Xenopus tropicalis: one gene and its partner. The protein of the gene in region 1 binds, or shares a complex with, the protein of each later gene. Links are inferred from orthologs where the notes say so. Each region holds a gene or a part of one and is shown on either strand. Other genes may lie near its edges.

Evidence for each region.
Region 2: snrpd3 (region 1) and lsm5 share a complex: the UniProt entries of both Homo sapiens proteins name them as parts of the U4/U6-U5 tri-snRNP complex. The link is inferred for Xenopus tropicalis from reciprocal best matches to the Homo sapiens genes SNRPD3 and LSM5.

Annotation. Positions count from the first base shown.
Region 1 is NC_030677.2:152,603,298-152,611,117, reverse strand, and holds the start of snrpd3 (small nuclear ribonucleoprotein Sm D3), read right to left. Parts: upstream 4,465-7,820; 5' UTR 4,442-4,464; coding exon 4,316-4,441; intron 1,875-4,315; coding exon 1,682-1,874; intron 1-1,681. Other genes in the region: protein GUCD1, read left to right, coding at 7,283-7,361. UniProt on the Homo sapiens protein: Plays a role in pre-mRNA splicing as a core component of the spliceosomal U1, U2, U4 and U5 small nuclear ribonucleoproteins (snRNPs), the building blocks of the spliceosome.
Region 2 is NC_030682.2:61,891,759-61,899,704, forward strand, and holds the start of lsm5 (U6 snRNA-associated Sm-like protein LSm5), read right to left. Parts: upstream 4,567-7,946; 5' UTR 4,450-4,566; coding exon 4,404-4,449; intron 2,477-4,403; coding exon 2,381-2,476; intron 400-2,380; coding exon 372-399; intron 1-371. UniProt on the Homo sapiens protein: Plays a role in pre-mRNA splicing as component of the U4/U6-U5 tri-snRNP complex that is involved in spliceosome assembly, and as component of the precatalytic spliceosome (spliceosome B complex).

The sequences.
Region 1 (7,820 bases):
ATGTAATCTATAAAGGCTGGAGTGAGCAGATGTTTAACATAAAAGCCAGAACACTACTTTCTCCTTTACAGCTGTTTGCAGTCAGTAACCAATCAGTGCCTTGAGGGAGGGCCATGTGGGGCATAACTGTTCAGTTAGTTTGCATTTGAATCTGACCCGTCTGCTCACAAACAAACTGAACATTTATGTCCCATATGCCCCCCCTAAAGTCACTGACTAACTAAGAGGTTAGAGAGCTGAAAGCAGGAAGTAGAGTTCTGGCTATTATGTTAAGACATCTGCTCACTCCAGTCTTTATAGATTACATTTTTGTCTAGCTATATTACAAATATTTTTTCATTTTTACAGTCTATTTCACCCAGTTTCATTTTTACACTGAACTGTTCCTTTAAAGCCAAACTATATCAGTCCCCAGTGGTGAGACTGTAAAGGCTGTGGGTAACAGGACTGATGTTAATATAAACTTTGCGAAAGGCATCTGAGGTGCAATCATATTGCTATTTGTCATCTTTAATACCTGTTCAATGTCAGATCATTTTAACAAAACCGGTTTATTAACTCATTATACACTGGTATAACTGGGATATGAATATGTACCCAGGTACTTTGTCTGCCTGCTACCTCTATACATTTGACTGATTACTAAGACTACTATTATATGCCTGCAGTTCCCCATATTTTGCAGGTTTTAATGGAAAATTGTCTTTTTAAATTTTGTATCCAATATTGATGTACTTGGGATTATAAAACGCTGAGACGCGCTCTTTTTATGGGGGTTCACCCTGCTGTGTGTGTGCTGCCACAGCAGTAGTTCTGTCCACATTTTAGATACAGCAATTCTCAAGTGTTGCCAATCTCTTCATATGTAACAATTTCTTATACATTTTGGGCTTTATGTATCCTTGCACTTCCCCCTCCCTCTCTCCTCTGGCCACTTCTAGTACTGTGTCCTTGCTGTTGTTTATTATTTACTTTGATATTGGCTCTGCCACCTGATTACATCACTTCCTGGTCCCAAGAGGAAGCAGCTGTTTCTGTTGTAACAGTCATTTTGCCAGGGCTGGTGAAATCAGTACCCACACTCATCTCTAAGCAAGCCTATCCAAGCATCGTTGGTATGTTTGCATTCTGTTTAATGCCTGCTTATTATAAGCTGTGTATTTTGCTGTTATGTGCATTCTGGTTATAGTTGTGATTCACTATTTCTCCCTTAGCAGCCAACTGTTAGGCCCCACTAGGACTGTATAATGCATATAAGATGTTTATATTTGCTCCTGTTGTATATATCTGTATTTTACATACCCAGAATGTATTCTGATACCATTGTACTGTTTGTACCTACAGTTCTACCTTCTTTTGATCATCATCATTAAACAAGTTCAAAACTTATACAGTGTGGTGATTGAAGGGCGAGTAAACTGCCTGTTGATTCACTTCTCACAGTGATGGGAGCAGGACAGTGTGACTTTTTGGTATAGAGTAAATATATTCTCTCATATTTCTCTATGCCTTTTGTTTTTCCCTTCCTATTCTCCTTGGACAAACAATTCCTTCCAATAACAAAATAAACTAATTTAACAATTAGTAACTTAAACCAAGGGAACGGAGGGCTTTTAATGATGATCATGGAATTTTACAGACATCACCCTGTTAACCCTGCCCCTACACAAATAAAACTTACCTTGGGCCTTGAGAATAGCTGCTTTTCCTCTGCCGGCACCAGAACCCTGGTTTTTATTCTTCATACTCTTTAACATGGGAGCATTTTTCAACATGTCTGGGAGGATGAGAAAACGAATTTTGCTGCCTCTGATGTAGACCTGTTCTAGTTGTGCCACTCTGCCATCCCTGTACGTTACAGTGATGTTTGACATCTGAAAGTCAAAGTACAATTTAAGCATCCATGGAGGGAAGAAAAAAGGACACAGGCTTAACATACAGCACTATGTGAGGAATTCTATTACAATGTTTTATATTTATAAAGCTTTAACGGGATCGTGTTTGACTTCACACTCATGTCTCCCCCTTGTTTAGCTCAAAGAATAGCCAAAACCATGTTCTTTTCCTGGGAGACAGCACCAAGAACATTCATACACAGTAGAAGAATGTTTAGAAGACCAGTCTTTGCAGTTTTAAATTTCCTTTAATGTATATCCAAGTTGCGTAGAATTAAATTTTTTCATTACAAAAACAGTTTTTGGCTGGAGGACCCTTTTAATTAAAATAGCCAAAAACAACCTATTTATTGTACAAGGTAATATACAGCTGCGTTAAAATGCTTTAGAAACACTGCTATAGTCTATACCAGTAATGCCCAACCAGTGGCTCCCAGTGGACTTTAAGCAGGTGCTTATTTTTTGTAATTTCTGGTAAGGAGGCAAGTTTCTGTTGCATAAAAACCAGCTGTATTGCCAGCACAATCCTGTAGGCTTCCAGTCCCCATAAGGGCTACCAAATAGCCAATAACAGCCCTTATTTGGCAACCCAAAAGAATTTTTTATGCTTCATTTGCTCCCAAACTCTTTTTACATTTAAATGTGGCTCACAGGTACAAAAGGTTGGGAAACCCTGGTCTATAGAAATAAAGCTGCATGGGGGCAGCTATTCAAACAAAGAGGGCTGAATGGCACAGGTGACAAAAAGATAAGCTCTGTAAAATACAATACAGCTTATGTAACCAGCACCTTTAGGGCTCTGGCACACGGGGGAGATTAGTCGCCCGCGATTAACTCCCTGTTCGCGGGCGACTAATCTCCCCGAGTTGCCTACCCCTGCCATCCCACCGGCGAACATGTAAGTCGCCGGCGGGATGGCAGACGTGGCGGCGCGATTTCGCGCAAATCGCCGAAAAAGACTCGCAAGTCTTTTTCGGTGATTTCCGGAAATCGCCCCGCCGCGTCTGCCATCCCGCCGGCGACTTACATGTTCGCCGGTGGGATGGCAGGGGTAGGCAACTCGGGGAGATTAGTCGCCCGCGAACAGGGAGTTAATCGCGGGCGACTAATCTCCCCCGTGTGCCAGAGCCCTTACTCAGTTTATCCCAGCTTGGATGGCTGCCCCCACTGATACACAGCAGCTTATTTATATGAACTATAGTAGTATCAGTGGGGGCAGCCATCCAAGCTGCTGTGTGTTACTGAAGCAAACACCAGTTCTACCAGTGCAGGGTAACACTACATCGTATTTTGATTACTTTGAAACACTTACATAGTTTAAAAGAATAGGAACACCAAAATATGTTACCGTTTGGCTTCTGTGGGTAGATAAAGGAGACTTTTCTCCATGTTAAAAGAGAAGTTTATACATGAACAACAGAAGAGTGCTTAGTAAAAAGAGCAAAAGGAAATTGTCACCCTAAATATTTTTTAAATTACACAACAGGAATGCAATACGGGTGTAGCCACACCCCACTAACTAGGCTCCTGTAACTAACAGTTTAAAAGTGCATAGCAACAACAGCATTTACATATTTTACTTCTGCTCCTTATCACTGAGCTTTACTGTGAATATACTGACATCTAGAGACACAGCTAGGAAATTGAAATAGATTAGGATTAAAGGAGACATTGTATAAAAATTAAGAATGTACCAGTAAATTATACTCCTCTAGATATAGAAGGACTGTGGTTTAAAAAAAATTGTTTTTTGGACTGTTTTATTGAGAAATTCCACCAAAACCCTAATAGTCCCGCCCATCTGTTCCACTTCCTGCTGGCTGGATAGGAACCAATCAGCAGCTAGGATGACCTGATAGGGAACTGAAGCCTGTCTCTGCTTGTGTGAGTGCTGGGCTGTGATTGCCTTCCCCCCTCCTACTGTGCTTCTGGCAGGGACCGTTAGGACACGCCCACCCTTCATTTTAAACAGGGACAGAGAACTGATAGGATCTACAGGGAGCTCCAATAAAGAGGCCATATTTACAGATGAGTATTTTTTAGCCCAAATGAAACCCGCAGCATATATTGTTCATAATTGTCTACAAAATTAGGTTTTTTTTTCCCCTATTTTTCCATGTCTCCTTTAAGCTATTTACGCTTCTGACCACAATATAACTGCTTCTTTTGCAATGGATAGGGTAACCGAGGCACTATATAGGGAATAAATAGGTGCCTTTTGGAAAATACTTTGCCCCTAACAATTCACACACACATTTTTAGTTTAACACAGCCTTTACAATTGTTGGTCCATAAGGTCTATCACTAGAGTTTATACTGCAATCACCAACGTACTTACAAACATGGCATAAGGTAAATATTTATAAGTTTAGGTGCACTTGCTATAGATATAATACGAATGACTTGCTTATTTTACTTACTTGGCAGTTCATGTTATCCTCTGCTTCAATCAATTTCCCCCTGTATACCTCTCCGGTGTTAGTTTCACATGTCACAATGTGGCCTTCTGCCTCATGAAGGACTTTAATTGGTACACCGATAGACATATTGAGAGCTAATGGAGATTAACCTGCAATTGGAGAAATAAAAATTAGCAAAAAAACGTGGAGAACATACAAAGCGCAACGCAGGTTACTGCATACAATGCAGCCATGTGCAAACTATAAGGTATATTCAAATAAAAATCCTTATTACATAATGTTTATCCAGCCTAAAGCTTTAATCACTTACAGTCTATAAATTCAGCCATACATATGCACACAAACATGCCCAGCCCTTCAGAAACACATGCACGTTAGGACATCGCAGCAGCACAACCCGCAGAAGCAGAGGAGTAACCCTCAATGAATGAGTTCCCTGGGATACTGGCACTGAGGCCTACACAAACGTTTCAGTGCCCCCGGCCTAAGGCAGGAATATTTATAGAAACGGATAACGGACTGGTAACACAGTGAGATGCGTTGGGCCCGGCACCCTGTATATAACCTCACCATAAGGCAATATTTAGAGGGAAGCCCTGCTCACACTCATACAAAGCTGCCAACCGCACAGACCTAAGGGAAAGCGAACAAGCGCCGAGTAACCGAGACGCACACCCCGCCCAGATATCCGCACGCTGCAACCCCCGGGCCTCTCTGACAATCCTGCAAAGCGCAGACTTTTTACCGAACTTTTGTTTGCTTTGGGTAATACTTACTAGCGTGGCTCTGTTCTGCGTTCTAATGGCGTCCCGCCTGCCCCACAATGCACAGCGAAAGGAAACAGGCTGTCGTATCTCTCTGCCCCCTTTTCCCGGCGACTGCACAAGCAAACAACTTCCGGTGGGAAACAGATATGAGTGACTTAGTTCCGCTCATCAACCCATTTATCTATTCACACCATTTAAGAGCGGCTAGTTGCACTGCAACTTTTCATATTATATATTATGAATTATTATTAAATATCTTGAGCTGAAACCTCCAATTAGACTCAGACGTGCAATCTGTGGATTGTGATAAATGCCAGAAGGGCTGCTGTAAGATGTCACAGACACTATTTATTGGGGTGATAGGGGGCTATTTGGGTATCCGCGTATAATTAAATGCCAAGGCCCCATTTCCAGTCCGCACCTGATCAGACTGTTTCTTTTAGTCTGCGCTTTTAATAGGTGCTGATTCTGACTTTATTAACTGAATTGGCAGACCGCTGGCATATGTATGGGCCCAGAATGATCAGGCTTATTTTGTTTATATATCTGCTGAATGCATTGTTTCTGAACTGCCAGAAAGCACATGCAACATTAAGTAAAATGGACAAAATGGCATCTGTGCACAAAAATGTACCCCTGCTCACTGCTGTAAAATGTAGATTCACCCCCCATTCTACCATGAATGTATGTATGTGCACATACAGGACTGGAATTAACCTGTCACTGCAGCCTGAAACTGCTGTTTGTGCCATTAGCCTAAAATTGCAGGCTGCGCTAGTAAAACCATCACATAATCTTGAGGTAAGGGTAATGGCATACACGGTTTAGTTGCCCATTGGCTTTCCCACAAAAGGACAACAACATTACCCATAGCAGCTATATATAGATAGTGCCATAGGCCACAGTGGAAACACATTGAAGAAAAACAAGATGGCTTATTCTGGTATTGGCACAATAATCCGCATTAGTCCTGTTCTTCTAGCAGCCAGAAATTGGGCATCTGGGTGAGAAGGTCACCAGCGGATCTATAACCAATATGGCCACCTAGTTGTGGCTGACATCAGGCAGATCTGTGAGGGCCAAATGATCATTGTAATAGGCGCCTGTGTAGGCCATCAGGAGAGGACCATATCAAATATCTGATGTAGTCCTCCTCCAGATGAGATTTTTAAACCTGCCCAACATCTGCCTGATATTTCACCAGATTGCTATTGGATAGGCTGTAGGACAAGACCCATAAGGTGGCCATGCATGGTAAGATCGCTCATTTGACCAGATCAAAAAGCGAACAGATATTCTCCCGATATGCCCACCTATGGGCGGGTGATATTAGGAAAATTAGATTGTTTGGCCCTAGAGCCAAAACAATCTAATTTAAAGGCAGGCATAGGCGCCATTGGTTTGAGGACTGCATGAAGGAGCCTATGCCATCCCTGACCCAACGATAAAATCAAACCTGACTAAAGGTCCCCATACACTATACGGGTGGGCGATATCGGGTAGCAATTTGCGTTAAAAAAAAATAATCCGATCATTTGGCCCTGGGGTTCGGGGACCGCATCAACGAGCCGATGCGGTCCCCGATCCGACTGGATTTTCTAACCTGGCCGATCGATATTTGGCCAATTTCAGGCCAGATATTGGTCGGCCAGGCCGCTCGTTTCTGCCCATACACGGGCTGATTAGCTGCCGAATTGGTCCAGGGGACCGATATCGGCAGCTTCTATCGGCCCGTGTATGGGGACCTTAATGGTTGATTTCAGGCCATATGTCGGTCGGGGAGGCCCATCGGAGGTGCCTATACATGGGCAGATAAGCTTCCAAAGGGTCTAAAGGCAGCTGAAATCAGTCTGTATATTGCCACCTATATTCAGGCAGCTAATCTGCAGGCTCAGACTGAACCCGCAGCTAAAGTCTGCCCCTATTTATGTTTCATTTTATAATTGCTTTATCACTGTTCCCATCCTGATTTAAAGGCATTATCATTTTCACTTTCTCACATACTGTACAGCCTTCCCTGCACTAAGCTTAGTCCCACCATAACAAGAGCACTGCAGGTAGAAGAGGCCAAATGCTAATACTGCCCCACCCTGGGAGGCTCCGTGCAGCTTCCGGCTCCACCCCGGACACACAGGGAGCCCCGGCCCGGAGGGGTAGGTATGAGGGAAACTCCAAGTGTTTGGGACACTGTGAGAGCACTATGAAGAATCCAGGACACACCGACCCCGAGGGTAGCAAAGCTGCGACAAGACCGGCCGGTACCTCGGACACAGACAGCAGTGCGTATCTACCCCCGGCCCCTATACAGCGCCCTCTCCTTCCCCTGTCTCCCTGCCGCTGAATGGCAACACCAACCCTAGTTCTGTCTTCTCGGACCCGTATCATCTGTTTCGGGTTCTGCTAATTTGTTCCTTCCCGGCCCTTAATACTTGCCGCAGGCTAACCTCTCCTAGTGTAACCGTGTGCCCTTGTGCCGCAGCCTGCTATGTCTCTGTATGGCAGTAATGTCCGTGTGTCCCTATGTGCTCGGCACGCCTTCCCCCAACTCTGTGTTTCCTGCTGCAGTGCCGCATACATACTTGTATTACTGTGTGTAGCAGGGCACTAGTATTGCCGTGTGTAGCAGGGCACTAGTATTGCCGTGTGTAGCAGGGCACTAGTATTGCCGTGTGTAGCAGGGCACTAGTATTGCCGTGTGTAGCAGGGCACTAGTATTGCCGTGTGTAGCAGGGCACTAG
Region 2 (7,946 bases), on another chromosome or scaffold:
TTCTTCTCTGTTATTATAAAACAGTACCTTGTACTTGATCCCAACTAAGATATAATTAATCCTTATTGGAGGCAAAACAATCCTATTGGGTTTATTAAATATTTCAATGATTTTTAGTAGACTTAAGTTAAGGGGATCTAAATTACGAAAGACCCCTTATCCAGAAAACCCCAGGTCCCGAGCATTCTGGATAAAAGGCCCCATACCTGTATGTAAAATGCAAATAAAATGAATATTATTTTTATTCGACAGATCTCAAGAATGAAACAATGCACTGCTTGGTATAAAAATTACTGTATCTTGGTAAAGAAGTTCTTGAGCAAGTGCAAATAGAATAAAAAAAATCTGTATCCAGACGGAACGGTACTTACAATTCTGTAACATCTTCTAGCACCATGTCTGAAGAAATGAATCAAGGTTAAAAGTATGAGGTTCTATGTGGTTTGAGGAAAAACTATGAAGAAGCACAGATGCGGAAGAATGCTATTTTATGCCATTAAAATCTATGACAAAGATCCCCAGTAAGCCTATAAAGTACTCTGGCTAACTTAGCTGTTGATTGTACACTTTCCAGCTTTGGCCCTCAGGTCAATTTGCCCATGCACAGATGGCAAAAAGCACAAATCACAGAGGAACTGAGAGCAAGACACAGTCCCAGCCAGTGTTTAATCCCATTCTGCTGATACATAAGTATGTGCTTTTGACAATGCAAAACTTCAACTCCCAGTTGAGCCGATAGTAGAAAACTAAAGAATGTTGTACTATAACATCTAGAACAGTGTTTTTCAACCTTTTTTGGGCAAAGGCACACTTGTTTCATGAAAAAAATCACGAGGCACACCACCATTAGAAAATGTTAAAAAATTTAACTCTGTGCCCAGCAGCAGTGCCCCCCTAGTACATTGGTGCCAAGAGCAGTGCCCCCCTAGTACATTGGTGCCAAGAGCAGTGCCCCCCTAGTACATTGGTGCCAAGAGCAGTGCCCCCCTAGTACACTGGTGCCCAGCAGCAGTGCCCCCCTAGTACATTGGTGCCAAGAGCAGTGCCCCCCTAGTACATTGGTGCCAAGAGCAGTGCCCCCCTAGTACATTGGTGCCCAGCAGCAGTGCCCCCCTAGTACACTGGTGCCAAGAGCAGTGCCCCCCTAGTACACTGGTGCCCAGCAGCAGTGCCCCCCTAGTACATTGGTGCCAAGAGCAGTGCCCCCCTAGTACATTGGTGCCAAGAGCAGTGCCCCCCTAGTACATTGGTGCCAAGAGCAGTGCCCCCCTAGTACACTGGTGCCCAGCAGCAGTGCCCCCCTAGTACATTGGTGCCAAGAGCAGTGCCCCCCTAGTACATTGGTGCCAAGAGCAGTGCCCCCCTAGTACACTGGTGCCCAGCAGCAGTGCCCCCCTAGTACATTGGTGCCAAGAGCAGTGCCCCCCTAGAACATTGGTGCCAAGAGCAGTGCCCCCCTAGTACATTGGTGCCAAGAGCAGTGCCCCCCTAGTACATTGGTGCCCAGCAGCAGTGCCCCCCTAGTACACTGGTGCCAAGAGCAGTGCCCCCCTAGTACACTGGTGCCCAGCAGCAGTGCCCCCCTAGTACATTGGTGCCAAGAGCAGTGCCCCCCTAGTACATTGGTGCCCAGCAGCAGTGCCCCCCTAGTACATTGGTGCCAAGAGCAGTGCCCCCCTAGTACATTGGTGCCCAGCAGCAGTGCCCCCCTAGTACATTGGTGCCCAGCAGCAGTGCCCCCCTAGTACATTGGTGCCCAGCAGCAGTGCCCCCCTAGTACATTGGTGCCCAGCAGCAGTGCCCCCCTAGTACATTGGTGCCCAGCAGCAGTGCCCCCCTAGTACATTGGTGCCCAGCAGCAGTGCCCCCCTAGTACATTGGTGCCCAGCAGCAGTGCCCCCCTAGTACATTGGTGCCCAGCAGCAGTGCCCCCCTAGTACATTGGTGCCCAGCAGCAGTGCCCCCATAAGTCAGTGTGCCCCGTGGCCCCCCCTAATACATTGGTGCCCAGCAGCATTTTACTCTTCGGCGGCTTCAGCAGCATCTTCCCCTCACGCGCGCCGCCTCTGCACTTCTGCCTACACGCGACCGCACACAGGCCCTTTTATAACGTTGCGCCCCGTGCGTACTGACGTCACCCGTACACACGGGGCGCAACCAATGACAGGGCCCGGATTTTTTTTTTAAAGTAAAAATTGCGGCCCTGCCTACGGCACACCAGGCAACATCTCGCGGCACAAACAGTGGTTGAAAAACGCTGATCTAGAATGCTGAATGGAGTCTATTGCTGATGGTAAATCGGTATTTTATTTTGGTACATTCTAAATTAGTATAACTGAAGCAATAAACAAAAAACTAAGCGTAAGCAGACAAAGGATACTGACAAAATCATCAAAGCCAAGAAGTGTTCCAACAATTTCTTTATCACTCTTCATAACAATATGAATGCGAGATCCTATGCACTTGTCCACAAGCTCTGCAAGATCAGAAATAAAAAAAAAATTAAGAATACACTTTAAAATAAGGCAAAAATAAAGTAAAAATACATGTTAAAATACAAAAAATAATTTTACATTGTGTATATATTAATTAGGTTTGAAAGTAAAACTTGAACAATCAAAGGTTTCTAAATTGTGGTGGTAAATACTTATCGCCTGTCAAATATTTTTTGAACTTCAGACTAAAAGCACATTTTAGTATAAAAATGTATTTGAATGTACTTGGATCTTAAGCTGCATAACTGAAAGGAAAGAGGGCGACTAAACCTAAGTCTGAAAACCACTGATTTAAACCTTCAGGAATAAAAAAAAAAAAAAAGAAAAAAAGCATAGTTTTGTTTGGTAGTTTGCAGTAGAAAGATGTATTTAGCCATTTTTGCCTTAATAAAAATATGTACTTTCGGAAAATATACGGTTTTCGAGGGGCTCCGTATTGTTAGGACGTCTTATGGTACATAATACACATACCGGGTGCTTCTATTGCAGCAGCCAGTATCAGAGATGAACATTTCTATTTCATCTCGGACACTTGGGGGCTGATTTACTAACCCACGAATCCAAATGGGAAAAATTCCGATTGGAAAACGAACATTTTGCAACTTTTTCGTATTTTTTGCGATTTTTTCGTCGCCGTTACGACTTTTTCGTAAATTGTCGCAACTTTTTCGTAGCCGTTACGACTTGCGCAAATTGTCATGACTTTTTCGTAGCCGTTACGATTTGCTCGTATCTTGTCGCGACTTTTTCGTATTGAGCGCTCGTAAACTGCGGGCAAAACTTTCAGACTTAGCATGATTTTGGAAGCCTCCCATAGGACTCTGCAGCTCCAACCTGGCCCAAGAAAAGTCACGATACTGAAGCTTGAATGAATCCGAAACTTTCGTACTCGGCGCGAAGGCTACGAAAAAGTTGTGACAATTCGCGCAAGTCGTAACGCAACGAAAAAGTCACAACAATTTGCGAAACAGTCGTAACGGCTACGAAAAAGTCGCGACAATTTACGAAAAAAATCGCAAAATACAGACCATTACGAAAAAAACGCATTCGGACACTTTCGGACCGTTCGTGGATTAGTAAATCAGCCCCTTGGAGTCATTTAGAGTAGAAAGACACGGTTATCTATTTCGGATTTGGTTGAATGTGCACTTTTAAAAAATATAAATGGTATCCTGGGGTAAACCTAATGTTTCAGGATTTTTGGCTATGGAATCTAAAGTATGCCCTATTCTGCTGTAACACTTTTTTCAATAACTTACTGCTGGGAGTTTTCGATCTATAGAAGTCAGACATCTCCATAAAATTATACATACCTAGTATAGGCACATTCAAGAGATATTAGGCTTTCTGAATAAGTTGAAATTTTATCCATAAAATAAAAGATTTTTCTGGTATAAATCCCTATAATCATATTTTTTTTTTTTTCTTTTATTTGCCTTTAGAGCTCTAAATCTTGTTCCAGAAGTGGAAATACACAAAAACTCAGATTTAGAGCTCAGGTTCTCAAGAAAAGAATGATGTACAGTTTTCCTAGGTAAACTAAAAATCAACTAGAAAATAATTCTGTTCTTTTTTTATCTGCTTACAATTAAAAGGTTCAGTATAAAATATAAATTGTCTAACGCAGGGCTGCCATGCGGCTCCATCATTTGCCCGATAACCTAAAGCACGTCACCTAGCAGGTGCTGTTTAACCCAAGCAACAGTGCTAACTCCAGGTACACTACATCTGTACTTCACAACCCTAGTAAGCCACATACATATCAGAATTCTACAACAAATATGAGTTCAAAGAAAGCATGTCGCATGAAATAGGACAGCGCCATTGAAGATAAAAGCCAATTAGTAACTGCACACTAAAGGTCTCGAACTGGAATAGATCTAGTCACATATTTCCTAGAGTCCTTACCGAGCGGGAGAAGCTGCGACGGATTGGGAGTCACGGTAGCCGCCATCTTTGATATTCCTTACTTCGGATTTCCTCCTGTTTTCGTAATCTCCCGCTGTCACCTACCTAGAGCAATCGATTGCCGATCTCATTATGCAGTCGAGCGCAAGCGCTAAAAACTTCCTGGTTAGGGAAGATTAATCAACAGACGAGCAGAAAAAGGCCTTATATGGCGGAAGAGAGCGAACAGGGGACGTGGGCGTGGCTAGAAGAATGTTTCAAAGCAATGATTGCAAAAGTTGTTGTTGCGCCAGAATAATGAATGTTCAAAAAATCGGCTTGGCTTCATTGCGATTGCTAATTGGCCGGGTATTTTGTCAGATGTAGAATAACCAGCAGCTCTGGACTCTGTACAGCATATTAACCATCCACTTCAACCACTCACGTTTAGGTAAATTAATAGGAGCCCCGATCAATACAGAACAAATTACGGGGGCCCAGGTGCCAACTTAGACGAGTACATTCGAAGTATAGAACTTTTTCAGATGTTTTTGTATGTAGCAGGTGCTCAGCTTGAATCAGCTCTTAGGAGGCATGAAAGTACCTCTGGCCTGTGTTTTGTTTAACTAAAAGGGGAAAGGATTGCAGTCACTTCTGTACCTAAACATTAGCATTTATAGGGGATATACTTTATCCAGAAAATTATATATTTCTGTTTTAATTTTTTGTAGGGTAGTGTTCAATTACAAAACTCATAAATATTGTTTTATCTTAGAGGACAAGAATTTGTAAGCCACCCCTTGATACTGTACTTTAGAGGCATTATGCTGCTTGCCTGCCCTCCAAGGTGTTGAACAACTGCACAGTTTGCTTGGTTCCTGCACATTACATGAGCATAGTGTTGAGGGCCATAGATGATTGATATTAGTCACCTTTTTTTTAACTACTTGTATTTAAACTTTAAAAATTCAGCATGATTCATTCAAAGTCTCTGCTGCTACAAAAAAGTTTAGTTTTTGTAACTGTCATTAAAACTTCTACCTAATTTCAAGATTTCTGCATGTAGAGTGACAGTGTGTCATTTGCTTACTAAAACTCAATGTTTTGAAACCTAACATTCTGAAATTTCCAGAACCAGTTCCCAACTTCCTGCTAAGATCACTTAGAAACCTTCTGTTTACCTAAGCCTTCATTTAGTTTTTCTCAACTGCTGCCTTTTTTAAGCTTTGAGATAAAGAGCAAATAATTATGTCAAGGGCTTACCTGTGGATTGGTAATCACGTGGGTCAAAATATAATGACTGATACAAAAACGTGAGGTAGTAACTTTTGCCATCCAACACCACGTCTGTCGGAAGGGAATGCTGCATGCTGCTCCTGCAGCCACAAGGATAAAAACTGATGGTGTTGGAAAGACTTCTTTTTCTCTCAATGTAATACATTGACTGTCAGATGTAAGTGCATGAACAAAATAAAAATCCAACTTTATCTGATCTGACATTAAAATTACAGCCTATGCAGATTAGATTTTGTAGGGTCCTAAAAAATCTTGTGCTGTTGCATTGCATTGTGTGGCGTTGCATGACAAGATCAGATAAAATATGACCCACAAAATCTGATAAAAAGCACTGGTAGGATTTAGCTCTTAAGGTGGCCATACACGGGCCGATTGTAGCTACAGATATCAGTCCCTTGGACCGATACGGCAACTTATCAGCCCGTGTAGGGTTAACAACGACTGGCCTGCACGACCGATATCTGTCCTAGAAATTGTCCCCGAACCGACTGCACCTATTCCAGTCGTTATAATTCCCCTGATATCGCCCACCCGTAGGTGGGATATCAGGAGAAGATCCGCTCACTTGGCGACCTCACCAGGCGAGCAGATCTTTACATGTATGGCCACCTTTAGAGTTCTCTGAGGTGTGTTTGAACTAATGATGATAAAGGGTGTATACAGTCCTTTTTAAATTTGTATATACAACATTTGGTTCTGAATATCTTGAATTACTTAAGGGACACACAACAGATCTATTATGTAAAAAAAAAATTTACAAGAAAACAGGTTATATTAGTTAGAGACTTACCACCTTGTCTTGTATATTCCTGAATAATTGTCTAAGTCTTGTTTTAACTAAACACTACTTTTGGTTTGGTGACTGTAGTGGGTGTGGAAAATGCTCTAAAGTGTGCAGGTTTTTAAATAGGCTGGAACAGTGGTTGTTCCTTAAAGGAGAAGGAAAGTCATTTTGGCATTTTACTGCCAATAGATTAGCCACATTAGTGCAAGCTAGAACACTATATTTATTCTGCAGAAAACTTTACCATACCTGAGTAAACAGCCCTGGAAGCTCCCTCCCATTGTTTATGATAGAAGCTGCCATTTTAGTCTGGTCTATCAAAAGAACACAGGGTTTTGTCTCTTTTTTGTAAATGTGTTCTTAGGGTATCTGACTTTCTCTCTCAGAACAATCCTTCATTCCTGGGGCCAGAGTCTGTGCAGTTCTCTCATCTGTCCCCTCTTCTGCTCCCCCCTCCCATAAGAATGCCAAAAAGTTCCTCCTCCCTCCCTTAGGAATGTGTAATCTAAGCCAGGGGTCCCCAAACTTTTTAGTACCATGGCCCGGTAGGAGGCAAAAATATTTTTGCAGAGGGGGCGGGCCATGGCGCGAACTTCAGGCGCGTAATACATGCGATGTGCTGGGGGGGTGCGCTGCGGCCCACTGCCATGCCGTCCGCGGCCCGGCGGTTGGGGAACCCTGATCTAAGCTATAGGCTAAATTGCAAGCAGGAAGCTATAAAGACCAAGCTAAAATGGCAGCTGCAATCTTAAACAAACAGAGACAGCTTCTAGGTTTTCTGTAGAATAAATATAGCATTATAGGTGGCACTAATTGGGAAAATCTATTGGCAGTAACATGCCAAAATGACTTTCCTTCTCCTTTAACCCAGCTTATACACTGCAAATAAAAAATTATAGGATTTAATATATGTTGTAACTTTACTGGACCTTTACTGAGCAGCTTTTTCTAGCCAAAATGCTACTTTGCCCAAACGCGGTTTAACAGTACTGTTAAAAATATAATATCGTGTTGATTGGTTCCTTATAGTGCATAGCCGCACGGATCCAGCTCTTCCAGTTCCAGGCATCTTCTGGAGCTAAACCATGACCTCAATCTGCCATAGCTCTGCTTTCCAATCCTACACAACAGCCAATCAGCACACTACTTGGCGATGACGAGTCACGCTTGTTGTTCGAGTGGGTTAGGCTAGGTAGCCATGGCGGTGATGTCACGCCGGGGCTGACAGTGACATCTGACTGCAGAGAGGAGCCTGAGACACTGGGTAGGAAGCAAAAGAGAGTGGGGAAGGGAGTGAGCATCTGCCTTAGGAGAAGGAGGAGATCCTGGCAGGGAAATCAGCAACAAAGGGAGAGGCTGGACGCGGAAAAGATAAGGGAACCAGATAAGAGTGAATGCTGGGAAGAAAGCGCTAGGGGAGTTGACTTTTAAACTGAGAGGCTATCCCCAGGCGTTGCATACCCCCGCTGCGGTATTCCTTTGCT